Linked DNA regions of Mus musculus. The protein of the gene in region 1 interacts with the protein of each later gene in a biochemical or structural test. Links are inferred from orthologs where the notes say so. Each region holds a gene or a part of one and is shown in the gene's direction. Other genes may lie near its edges.

Region 1 (4,533 bases):
AGCCCCTTCCCCCAAACCATCTGCAGTTAGGACAGAATTGCATACAGCTGGTTGAGAGGGACGGCTGCATACTCAGGTGAAGGTCCCGTGACCTTCTGTCCCACCTCCTCCTTCTATGACGGAAGGTAAACCGTCCACAGGCCCAGCTGTGATGGTCTTTCCGAAGCAGGCGCAACAGAACTCCTGAAGATGCTTGCAGATGTTTGCAGATGTCTCAGAGGATGGTCCTAGAGTAGAGTGGCACAGGCCTTTAGTCCCAGCACTTGGGAGGTAGGGGCAGGAGGGTCGGGACTTCAAGGTCATCCTTGGCTATATGGTGAATTCAAAGGCCAGCATGAGCTACACTAGTCTCTGTCTCAGAAAATAGCAAAAAACAAAGGGAAAAGAAACAGATGGTGTGTGTGTGTGTGTGTGTGTGTGTATCAGTGAATGGAGAGGAGTGGTCTGGTCATAGCCAGTCAACAACATTCACAACAGCAAAGGCTTCTTTCCAACCTGAAGCAAGCCTAGGGTAGAAGGTGGTAGTGACTGTGCTCTAAGGATGCGCCAGACCATGCTATTTGCTGAACTTTTACAGGCCCACCATTAAAGTGCACACATCTCCAGCATCCTGGCGAAGAAATAAATTCTTCACACGAACAAGATCTTTAGCAATAGGTAATCCTTTTGCACTTAGGGAGCACAGCTCTGACATCTTTTATTATTATTACTACTTACTGTTTGCCTGGAAGAATGACTTCTTTGTTATTTATTTAAACTCTTAAATAGCTGCTCATACTCATCGTTTGGGGGTTGGGGTTGAAGCAGGAAGAAAAAAATGCCAGATATCTCAGAGAAGTGGCCTTATGCTAAATGAAGAAATCTTGTGGCTCCAGTGCTGGAGAGATGGTCTATTTGGTGGTCTCTGCAAGTACGCGAGAAACCCAGCAAGGAAACCCAGTCTCAGATGCTGGAATCCAGGAGGTGGGGGAAGAGGCGGGGCTCCAAGCCTACATTGGTTCGACAGTTCTCCCCTTGTCTGACTCGCGGTTAGAAGGAGGCGCTCCGGTACACGCCACCGCGCACTCACGGCTCCTCCCGCCGTTCCGCTGTAGCCCCCTACCCTTTTTGGGAAGTGCCCTTTGGTCCAAGGGACAATCTTCTCCGGCTGACATCCCGACTGCTCCCGACTCAGCCCTGCCCCCTTGGACTCACCAATCGCTGTGCGTTTGTGGCGGGACTGGGTGGAGCCTAAGAAATTCGAACGAAGCTCCGCCCCTCGGGAGCCCTTTCCCGGGAACTGGGAGATTGTAGAAGAAAAGCTTCCTGCGTAGACTGTGAAGCGAGGTGGGGAGTGGAAACCGAGTGTGCGCTGGAGGTGTGGCGGGGATGTGGTGCCGCGGAGTGGAAAATGGGTGGGGTAGGGGGGGAGCGAAATTTCGGATAATAGTAAGGATGGAGGTGAAGACTGACCGACTGAGGAGAGGCCAGGGCGCAAGTTGGCGGATTGCACATCAGGTGTCGAGCTTTCTGCACCTTTCCCTAATATAACGGACTAGTTTCAGGGACACGTGCTGATCCTGCTTTACCACCACCATGCCTCTTCACCCCAGCTAATGCACTCCGAGTCTTGATGGGGCCCTAAGGCAGGATGATAGACACCTGAGGTAGGCATGTTTTCTTTCAGGTCTAAGCCGACTCGCTTATGCTGGCTGAGCATGGAGGATCTGAAAGAGGGTAAGGAAGCCATGGAGGGAGGAACGGGCCCCTGAGAGTCTGTCTGTCAAGAACTGATAGCTGGCATTTATTCTTCTCATCCCTTCAGATATCAAGTTCATTGTGGACGAGACCTTGGACTTCGGAGGGCTGTCTCCATCTGACAGGTACCAGCCTATTTATCCATTTATTATTTTCCTCCGGCAATACATCTGTAACCCTTTACTGCTAACTTATGGGCCTCTAGAACCGTGGTTGGTAATCTAGCAGAGTATGGTACCCTCTGATGGCAGTAGTCTGGTAGAATTGGGCCTCTAGAACACATGCTGGTGAGAACAGAGAAGCTGTAGGGAAATTTAGGGGTAAATGTAAATGAAAGATGAATGTCCCTGGGCATGTTGAGGCATGCCCTGCAAACCACCCCCACACTCCTAGGATAGACTAGAGTGCAGAGAGGGGGAGGGAGAGAGGGAAAGAGAGACAGAGAGAGAGAGAGAGAAGGCAGGAGGGATTTTGAATTTGAGATCATTCTGTGCTATAGAGTTGAGACATTGTCTCAGAAAATGGGAGTAGAACTAAGTTTTCCTCACCTAAAAGCAGTTCTCATGGCCAAAATGGAGTCAGGGTTGGGGATTGTCCCCGACTCGCCGACAGGAATGCCTTCTGCTAGCTGTTGTCCAGCATGGTGCCATATTTGTTTTTCAGTCATGAGGAAGAAGACATAACAGTATTAGTGAGTCCAGAGAAACCACTTCGACGGGGCCTCGCCCATCGGAGTAACCCAAATGAAGTAGCTCCCGCCCTCCAGGGTGTGCGGTTTAGCTTGGGCCCGCTCAGCCCAGAGAAGCTGGAAGAGATTCTTGATGAAGCCAACCGCCTGGCGGCTCAGCTGGAGGAGTGTGCCCTGAAAGATCGGGAGAGGGCTGGTACAGGCCCTGGAAGGCCCAGCCCCAGAGGGAAACCCAGTCCTCGGCGGGAGACCTTCGTCCTGAAGGATAGCCCTGTCCGAGATCTGCTGCCCACCGTGAGTTCTTGGAGCACCCCACCTCCAAGCAGCCTAGCTGGGCTCCGGAGCAGTGATAAAAAGGGGTCAGCCAGGGCTGTCCGGGTGGCATCCGGAAAGAAGCCCTCCAGCATAAAGAAGGTGAGTGTGGAGAGTGGACATGCGTGCGTACACCTAGACAAGGTGCAGGAGACACTGAAGGCGTAGTGTCATTCCCATACAGGGCAGAGGAACACAGTTAATTATCCCCTGGAATTTTTAGGATTAAGCAAATTGGGTTGGAGACCTGGCCAGGTGGCTAGAGTTTGCCCAGCCTAAACAAAGCCCTGGGTTGGATTCTTCAGCATCACAGGAATGGATGTGGCAAATGTAAATTCAAGGTCAGTCCCAGGGGGCTATATGCTGAGCTTGAGACCAACCTGGGCTACTTGACTCCCTCATTTAAAACAAAACATAATAATAATAATAACAATAATAATAATAATAATAAGTTGGTGAGATGGCTCCGTGAGTAACAGCACTTTCCATCAGGGATGATGAAGCTGAGTTCAAGCCTTGTGACCTACATGTGAGGACTGTTGTCTACGTGATGAGCACACTCCCACATGCTGTCCTCTGACTTACACATGCATGTTGCCACATATGTGTATGTCACATACAGTAAAGAAATAAATATAAAGTGACTTTAAAAAAAGGAAAGTAGCCGGGTGGCAGTGGTGGCGCACGCCATTAATCCCAGCACTCTAGAGGCAGAGGCAGCCGAATCTCTGAGTTTGAGGCCAGCCTGATCTACAGAGTGAGTTCCAGGACAGCCAGGGCTACACAGAGAGACCCTGCTTTGAAAGAGGGGGGAGGAGGAAGGAAGGAAAGAAGGAAGGAAGGTAGGTAGGTAGGTAGATCTTGCTGGCTGATATCTTCCTTATAGGTTCTAGACAACGCCCTACCTACTATCTCCTCTCCTTAAGGCAGCAGAACACAGACTGCCTCCACTCTGGTCTTTTTTTTCCTTCCTTGTTCTGTTTCAGGAATCACCCACTTGCAATCTGTTCCCTGCATCCAAAAGCCCGGGGCGCTCTCCTCTTGCACAACCAATTCTTCCACCTCGGCGGAAAACTGGGTTCGGTGCCCGGACAACAGCAAGTGAGACCCAGGCAGCAGAGATGTGGGCGAGGCTGATGAGGGGAAGAGAGGAGCTGAGCTCCACCCTGACCCGACTACACTCCTGTCCACAGGCCCACCAATTCCTGTCAGACCAGTTCCACAGTCCTCAGCTAGCAACTCCCAATGTTCATCCCGGCTCCAGGGAGCAGCTGTCAAGTCTTCCAGTCGACTCCCTGTCCCTTCAGCCATCCCCAAGCCTGCCACCCGAGTGCCACTCATTGGGCGGAGTCTACCACCTGGAAAAGGTGCCCTAGCTCCAGATTCTCTCTCAACTCAGAAAGGGCATCCAAGCGCCATAGGGCACAGAGGTAAGATAGAGTGGACAAATGGTCAGGCTTAGCATGGTGGCACATTTCTGTAGTCTCAGCACTCAGAGGGTAGACACCAGAGAATAAGACGCTCAAGGCCAGCCTTAGCTATATAAAACCATGTCTCAGGAGAAAAAGAAAAACAAAATAGAGTCGGGCAGTGGTGGCGCACGCCTTTGATCCCAGCACTTGGGAGGCAGAGGCAGGCAGATTTCTGGGTTCAAGACCAGCCTGGTCTACAGAGTGAGTTCCAGGACAACCATAGCTATTATGGGGAGATCCTGTCTCAAAAACCAAAGAAACAAAACAAAAACAGAGAACCTTAGATAGAAGAATGTCTGCAGTGACACGGCTTGATCTTCCCCC
Region 2 (4,786 bases), on another chromosome or scaffold:
CTTTTCTGAGGAAATCATATTCCGTTGTCTTTTATCTACTCTTGTATATATTCAAGTCAGGAATAGACAGCCCAGCCCAAAACTCCCTGTCAAAGCCATAGTATTATTGTCTTCAAGATATTTCAGTTTTGGTACCACATCAAACCCTTATTCTTACTTATAACCTTTTCTAGGAATTAGCGAAGTTAGTCTGTCCACATAAGAAGTTACTCCTAGGGGGAGTGGGTGGGTAGGGGAGTGGGGGTGGGTGGGTATGGGGGACTTTTGGTATAGCATTGGAAATGTAAATGAGCTAAATACCTAATAAAAAATGAAAAAAATAAAAAAAAAAGAATCTCTTTTTAAGTCTGAATAATCCCAAAAAAAAAAAAAAAAAAAAAAAAGAAGTTACTCCTGTGGAAGACATCAAAGGAATACTTTTTCTACGAGTATCAGCCTAGAAAAAAAAAGACCCAGAGGCAAATCGAACACTGACTCCCACCTGCAACAAAATATCGCAATAGGTTACATCATCCCCAGGAATCCAATTCCCATAACAGCTTTCTCTATTATGTGATCAATGCAAAACATAGAAACGGGAATCATTCTGGCATGACCTATACATTCCTGCAAAATCTGCAGTCTGCCCACACCCCCTAATCTCATTTCCATCTTTCTTCCCCTTACTCAGTCACAGTTCCCCTAAACTTATTAAAGTACCAAAGGCTTTGCACTTCAGATTAACTGCTTGTAAAGGCCTTCCCTCAGATCTTTGTTGGCTAGTTTTTTTTGTCATTCACAGAGCATAAATGTCATTCTCTGGGAGACCTGGCTCACAATCTAAGAGTCTAGCGCATCCTAGTCAAACTGTATTCCATTACTTTGTGGGTTTTTTTTTTTCCCTAATCATTCTGCAGTTTCATCTTCTCTTGTTAAGATAAAAGAAAAAAAAAGAAAGAAAAGAAAGAAAGGAAAGAAAAGTTCACAAAGTCTCCCCAACAACTAGAGTAGTGTCAACCCAGTAGACACTTGCTAAAAGAATCAATGCATTTAAACAATGTATCAATGTGCCCACTCTGCGCCCCCCTCCCCCGGCTCTTTTCATTCACAAGAAACCACTAGGGTCGCTATCCTCGCAGGCAAGCCCTTGAACCAGCCTCGCGATCCCAAAGAGCGTGCTCTCTCGCAGGCTGGGCGAGGCAGCCTGGAAGCTAACCGGGTCTCAGAGACCGACAGATGCACCAAACATCGCCACTCGCTTCCAAGAAGCACCGCAGAGCGACGACGAGTAGGGGCCCTCATCGCCTGCTCTCGGCCCTGTCGCCTCCCCCGTCGCTCAGCCTGCCACGCACGTGTCGCTCCAGCCACCCAGCTCAACCTGGGCTCCTGCTTACCTGGCTGCCATCCCGCCGGGCCACGCAGCCATCGCCCGGCCACTCGTGCCCACAGCTGCCTACTCCAGGCCACCGTACTCCACGGAAGGCCTTGCCGGCCCCTCCCTCAGCAGGCGTAGAAGCCCCATTCGTAGTACAGTGTCTCTTAGCAACCGCTTAGAGTCTCCAGGCTGGGGGTGGAGCCTGGAGAACCGCTGCGGGGAAGCGGAGGGGACGAAGGGAGAGCGACCAATCGGAGACAAGTCCCAGCCTCTATTAGCCCGCCTCCTCTAACTGTCGCGAATCCGCGGGCAGCTTTACGACAGCCAGGGGGTGGGGGCATCTGTGTGAGGAGAAGGAAGCAACCAACCAACCAAGTCGCCCCCACCCCCTACCCCAACCCCCACCCACCGCGGATCTGGTTTACGGCTTGGAGCGCAGGCTCCAGTGCGGCAGCTGATTGGCTGTCGAAGGCTTGGTCCCATCCCAGTGACCCCAAAGTGCTGGAAGGAGGGGGCGGGGGTGGCCCAGTGCAAAGTGCATCCCGAAAGCCCCCTGTCGGGACACCCTGCTGCTGACACTTCGGACCTGGTATGACTTAGGGTCTCTCTGTCCCCAGACCTCTTGAGTCCCTCGGTAGCTGAAAGCCTCCGGCCCGGCGCGCGGCAGACCCTTGGTCTGAGCCCCTGGACCGGGACTGCCCCCCCCCCCCCCCACCCAGCCGGCACTTCCTCCCAGCGCCCCTTCCCGGAGGCTGCTCCGAGGCCAAGACCGCCACCCCCAGCCTGATCGACTATCTGGATGCTCTCTGGGTTGGGGCCGTGAAGCACCCAGGAGGATCAGGAACACGGTGTCCGGCCCTGCCTGGGGTGTTTCTTCAATGGAGAAGTTGGTGAATGTGCAGGAGGCTGAAAGGAGAGAGAGGAGCTGCAACTGAGGACACAGGTAAAGTCAGTTTCTTCCTCCCTTGAGGGGAGGGGGCTGGCTGGGTGGGGGTTGGGGGAGAAGCCCTGCTCTAGCCTGCCTGCCCTTGCCACCCTCCAGCCTTTGCTAAGCTCCCCCATCCTCAGAGCCCTCTCCTCGCCCCTGGATCACTGCACCACTGATCGGTTTCTGTTTTCCAGGTTTGAGCTTGCTGGAGGACACTCGCGAGTAGAAGGGGTCTGGCCACCCACCAGAGGAGCAATAAACAGAGTGCTTTGGACCAGCATCCTCTTGAAAGGTAAAGAGGCAGACCTCCCTTCCCCCATTGTTTACTCCTGGCCCCTACCTCATTAAGTAACGCTTTATTTCCAGGGTGGTTGCCTGGGAATGCAAGCTTTCTTAGATCCTAGTTTCCTAGCAAAACCAGAAGCACTGCCCATGCCTGGTCCTTAACACCCCAGTAACTTCTCTAGCCCAGAAACGTCTTCTGGGACCTGATCAGAGCGTTTCCGTGTTTTGCATTATCTTTTGGTATACTGTGTCATGTACTCTGCTCGGAGGCTTGGAGACCTTTTTGTAGTTCCCCGCCTTACATACTCTCATAGGAATTCTTCAATTCCATGTTAATTGCTTGTTAATTCTGAATGATTCTGCTTTTAATTAAACCACAGTTTACTGTTTTGCCCATGTACATTTTTTTCTCTCTATGCCTCCATCAGGAAAGCTTCAGAGTTACCTAACTGATAATGACTTAGTAGCAGAAGGTGAACAGGAGGACTGAAACTTACAGGTTTTGAAGAAAATAATTGGATTTGGTTTTCCTGGAACAAGTGAATGTGTGTAGCTTAAGAATGGGAACAGTATAGGAACTGTATAAAAGCACTATTAGCCCCGGAAACAAAGTATATAGTTTACTATGGGTGTTCTTGTGTGTTTGTGTGAGAAAAGTGGATGGACACCAGGAGTTGTTATGAAGTGATACATAGTATTTGTTACATCTCTGGTGTTCTAGGTGAACTTATAAAAATTTACAATGTATCTCCTTGACAATAGTGGCACAGTCAGGAATTTTGAAACAAAGTATTGTTTTGGTATGTTTAGCTATCTGCTGCTTGGTTTTGGCAGTGGTCATTCTTGTTTTCTCATTTTAAAACCCTTACAGAGAATTTACTAGATTGAAATATAAGCACCTAGGTCATGTGCTCAGATTTCTGCTGCCTCCGAAAATGCCCAAAAGGTAAGTTTAGAACATTAATATAAAGAGAGAATGTATACAAATAAACCATAGGGAGAGATTATACAAGGACAACCTAGAGACTGCCTAATGAATAACTATAATATTTGTTATCACGTATAAAAAGTGACTCATTTATTTTAATATCTCAACTGTTTTTTGAAATTTTCAGTACAAAGAAGTATTCAAAATGGTAGGCTTTTATTCCTTTAGATTTTCTGTCTTGTCTGCCAGTGTGTGTGTGTGCTTGCACACACAAACACAAATAATATGTTTTGATTCTACTGATCTTTAAGACATAAAGATAATTTTAAGGGGCTCTGGTGGCTTGCACATTTTTAAGACTTGAAACTACACGCCAAAGAAAGTATGTCCTGAATAAAATTTTAAAATACTATATATCAGCTCTCTTTTCTCACTGTAATTGCTATATTTTCCTCCTCCTCCTCCTCCTCCTCCTCTTCCTCCTCTTCCTCCTCCTCCTCCTTTTCTTCTTCTTTTTAATTTCTGGTGCTTTGAGACAGGGCTTCTCTGTGTAGCTTTGGCTGTCCAGAAACTCCCTGTAGATCAGGATAGCCTTGAACTCAGATCTGCCTGACTCTGCCTCCTGAGTGCTGGGATCAAAGGCTTGTACCTGACTGTAATTGCTGTTCTTTCCAGGCTGAGGAGTGGGAATCTTGAGGCAGGAGGATGGAGAATTTAAAGCCAACCTGGGCCAGCTATAGAGTGAAACAGGGTTTTAAAGAACCAAATGAAAGAAAGAGAAAAAAAAATTCACCAGTGACTGTACTATGGAGAAAATTTAGGGTAGTATTCATATATGTGTGTGTGTAAAAATTTAGGGTAGCATTCATATATATGTGCGTGTGTGTGTGTGTGTGTGTGTGTGTGTGTGTGTGTGTGTATGAATATGAATCAAGGCAGAGTCTCAAGTTGAGGGGTGGCTGCTATTAAAATACAGAGCTCAGGGCTGGAGAGGTGGCTCAGCGGTTAAATATGGATCAGCACTATGATACCTTCAGAGTACTGTATAACTTTAAAAAATGGTAATAAAATATTTGGAGTGTATTTCAGAGATAAAATGCAGTATGTATTTTGTGCCTAGCCTTCTCAGTGGGGCGGAGGGTATTTTTCTGCTTTAGAGTTAACCTGATTTGCTAGGGCTCCTGAGTGAGGGTTCTTTTCACCTGAGATGATAAATGAGGATCACTGGTCAGATTTGTAAAGACAGAGCAGTATTCTGGTTCCCAGCCAGGTCATTATTGCTGCTTAAGTC

Evidence for each region. The genes of interacting proteins can lie anywhere in the genome.
Region 2: of the proteins of Psrc1 (region 1) and Asb7, one has a biochemical effect on the other in vitro, tested with the Homo sapiens proteins (2 studies listed by BioGRID, with this or other methods). The link is inferred for Mus musculus from reciprocal best matches to the Homo sapiens genes PSRC1 and ASB7.

The regions. Positions count from the first base shown.
Region 1 is NC_000069.6:108,382,570-108,387,102, forward strand, and holds the start of Psrc1 (proline/serine-rich coiled-coil protein 1), read left to right. Parts: upstream 1-1,268; 5' UTR 1,269-1,357; intron 1,358-1,666; 5' UTR 1,667-1,697; coding exon 1,698-1,716; intron 1,717-1,804; coding exon 1,805-1,862; intron 1,863-2,400; coding exon 2,401-2,839; intron 2,840-3,723; coding exon 3,724-3,838; intron 3,839-3,930; coding exon 3,931-4,167; intron 4,168-4,533. UniProt on the Homo sapiens protein: Required for normal progression through mitosis. Required for normal congress of chromosomes at the metaphase plate, and for normal rate of chromosomal segregation during anaphase. Plays a role in the regulation of mitotic spindle dynamics.
Region 2 is NC_000073.6:66,686,611-66,691,396, reverse strand, and holds the start of Asb7 (ankyrin repeat and SOCS box protein 7), read left to right. Parts: upstream 1-1,835; 5' UTR 1,836-2,297; intron 2,298-2,476; 5' UTR 2,477-2,574; intron 2,575-3,438; exon of another isoform or gene 3,439-3,513; intron 3,514-4,786. UniProt on the Homo sapiens protein: Probable substrate-recognition component of a SCF-like ECS (Elongin-Cullin-SOCS-box protein) E3 ubiquitin-protein ligase complex which mediates the ubiquitination and subsequent proteasomal degradation of target proteins.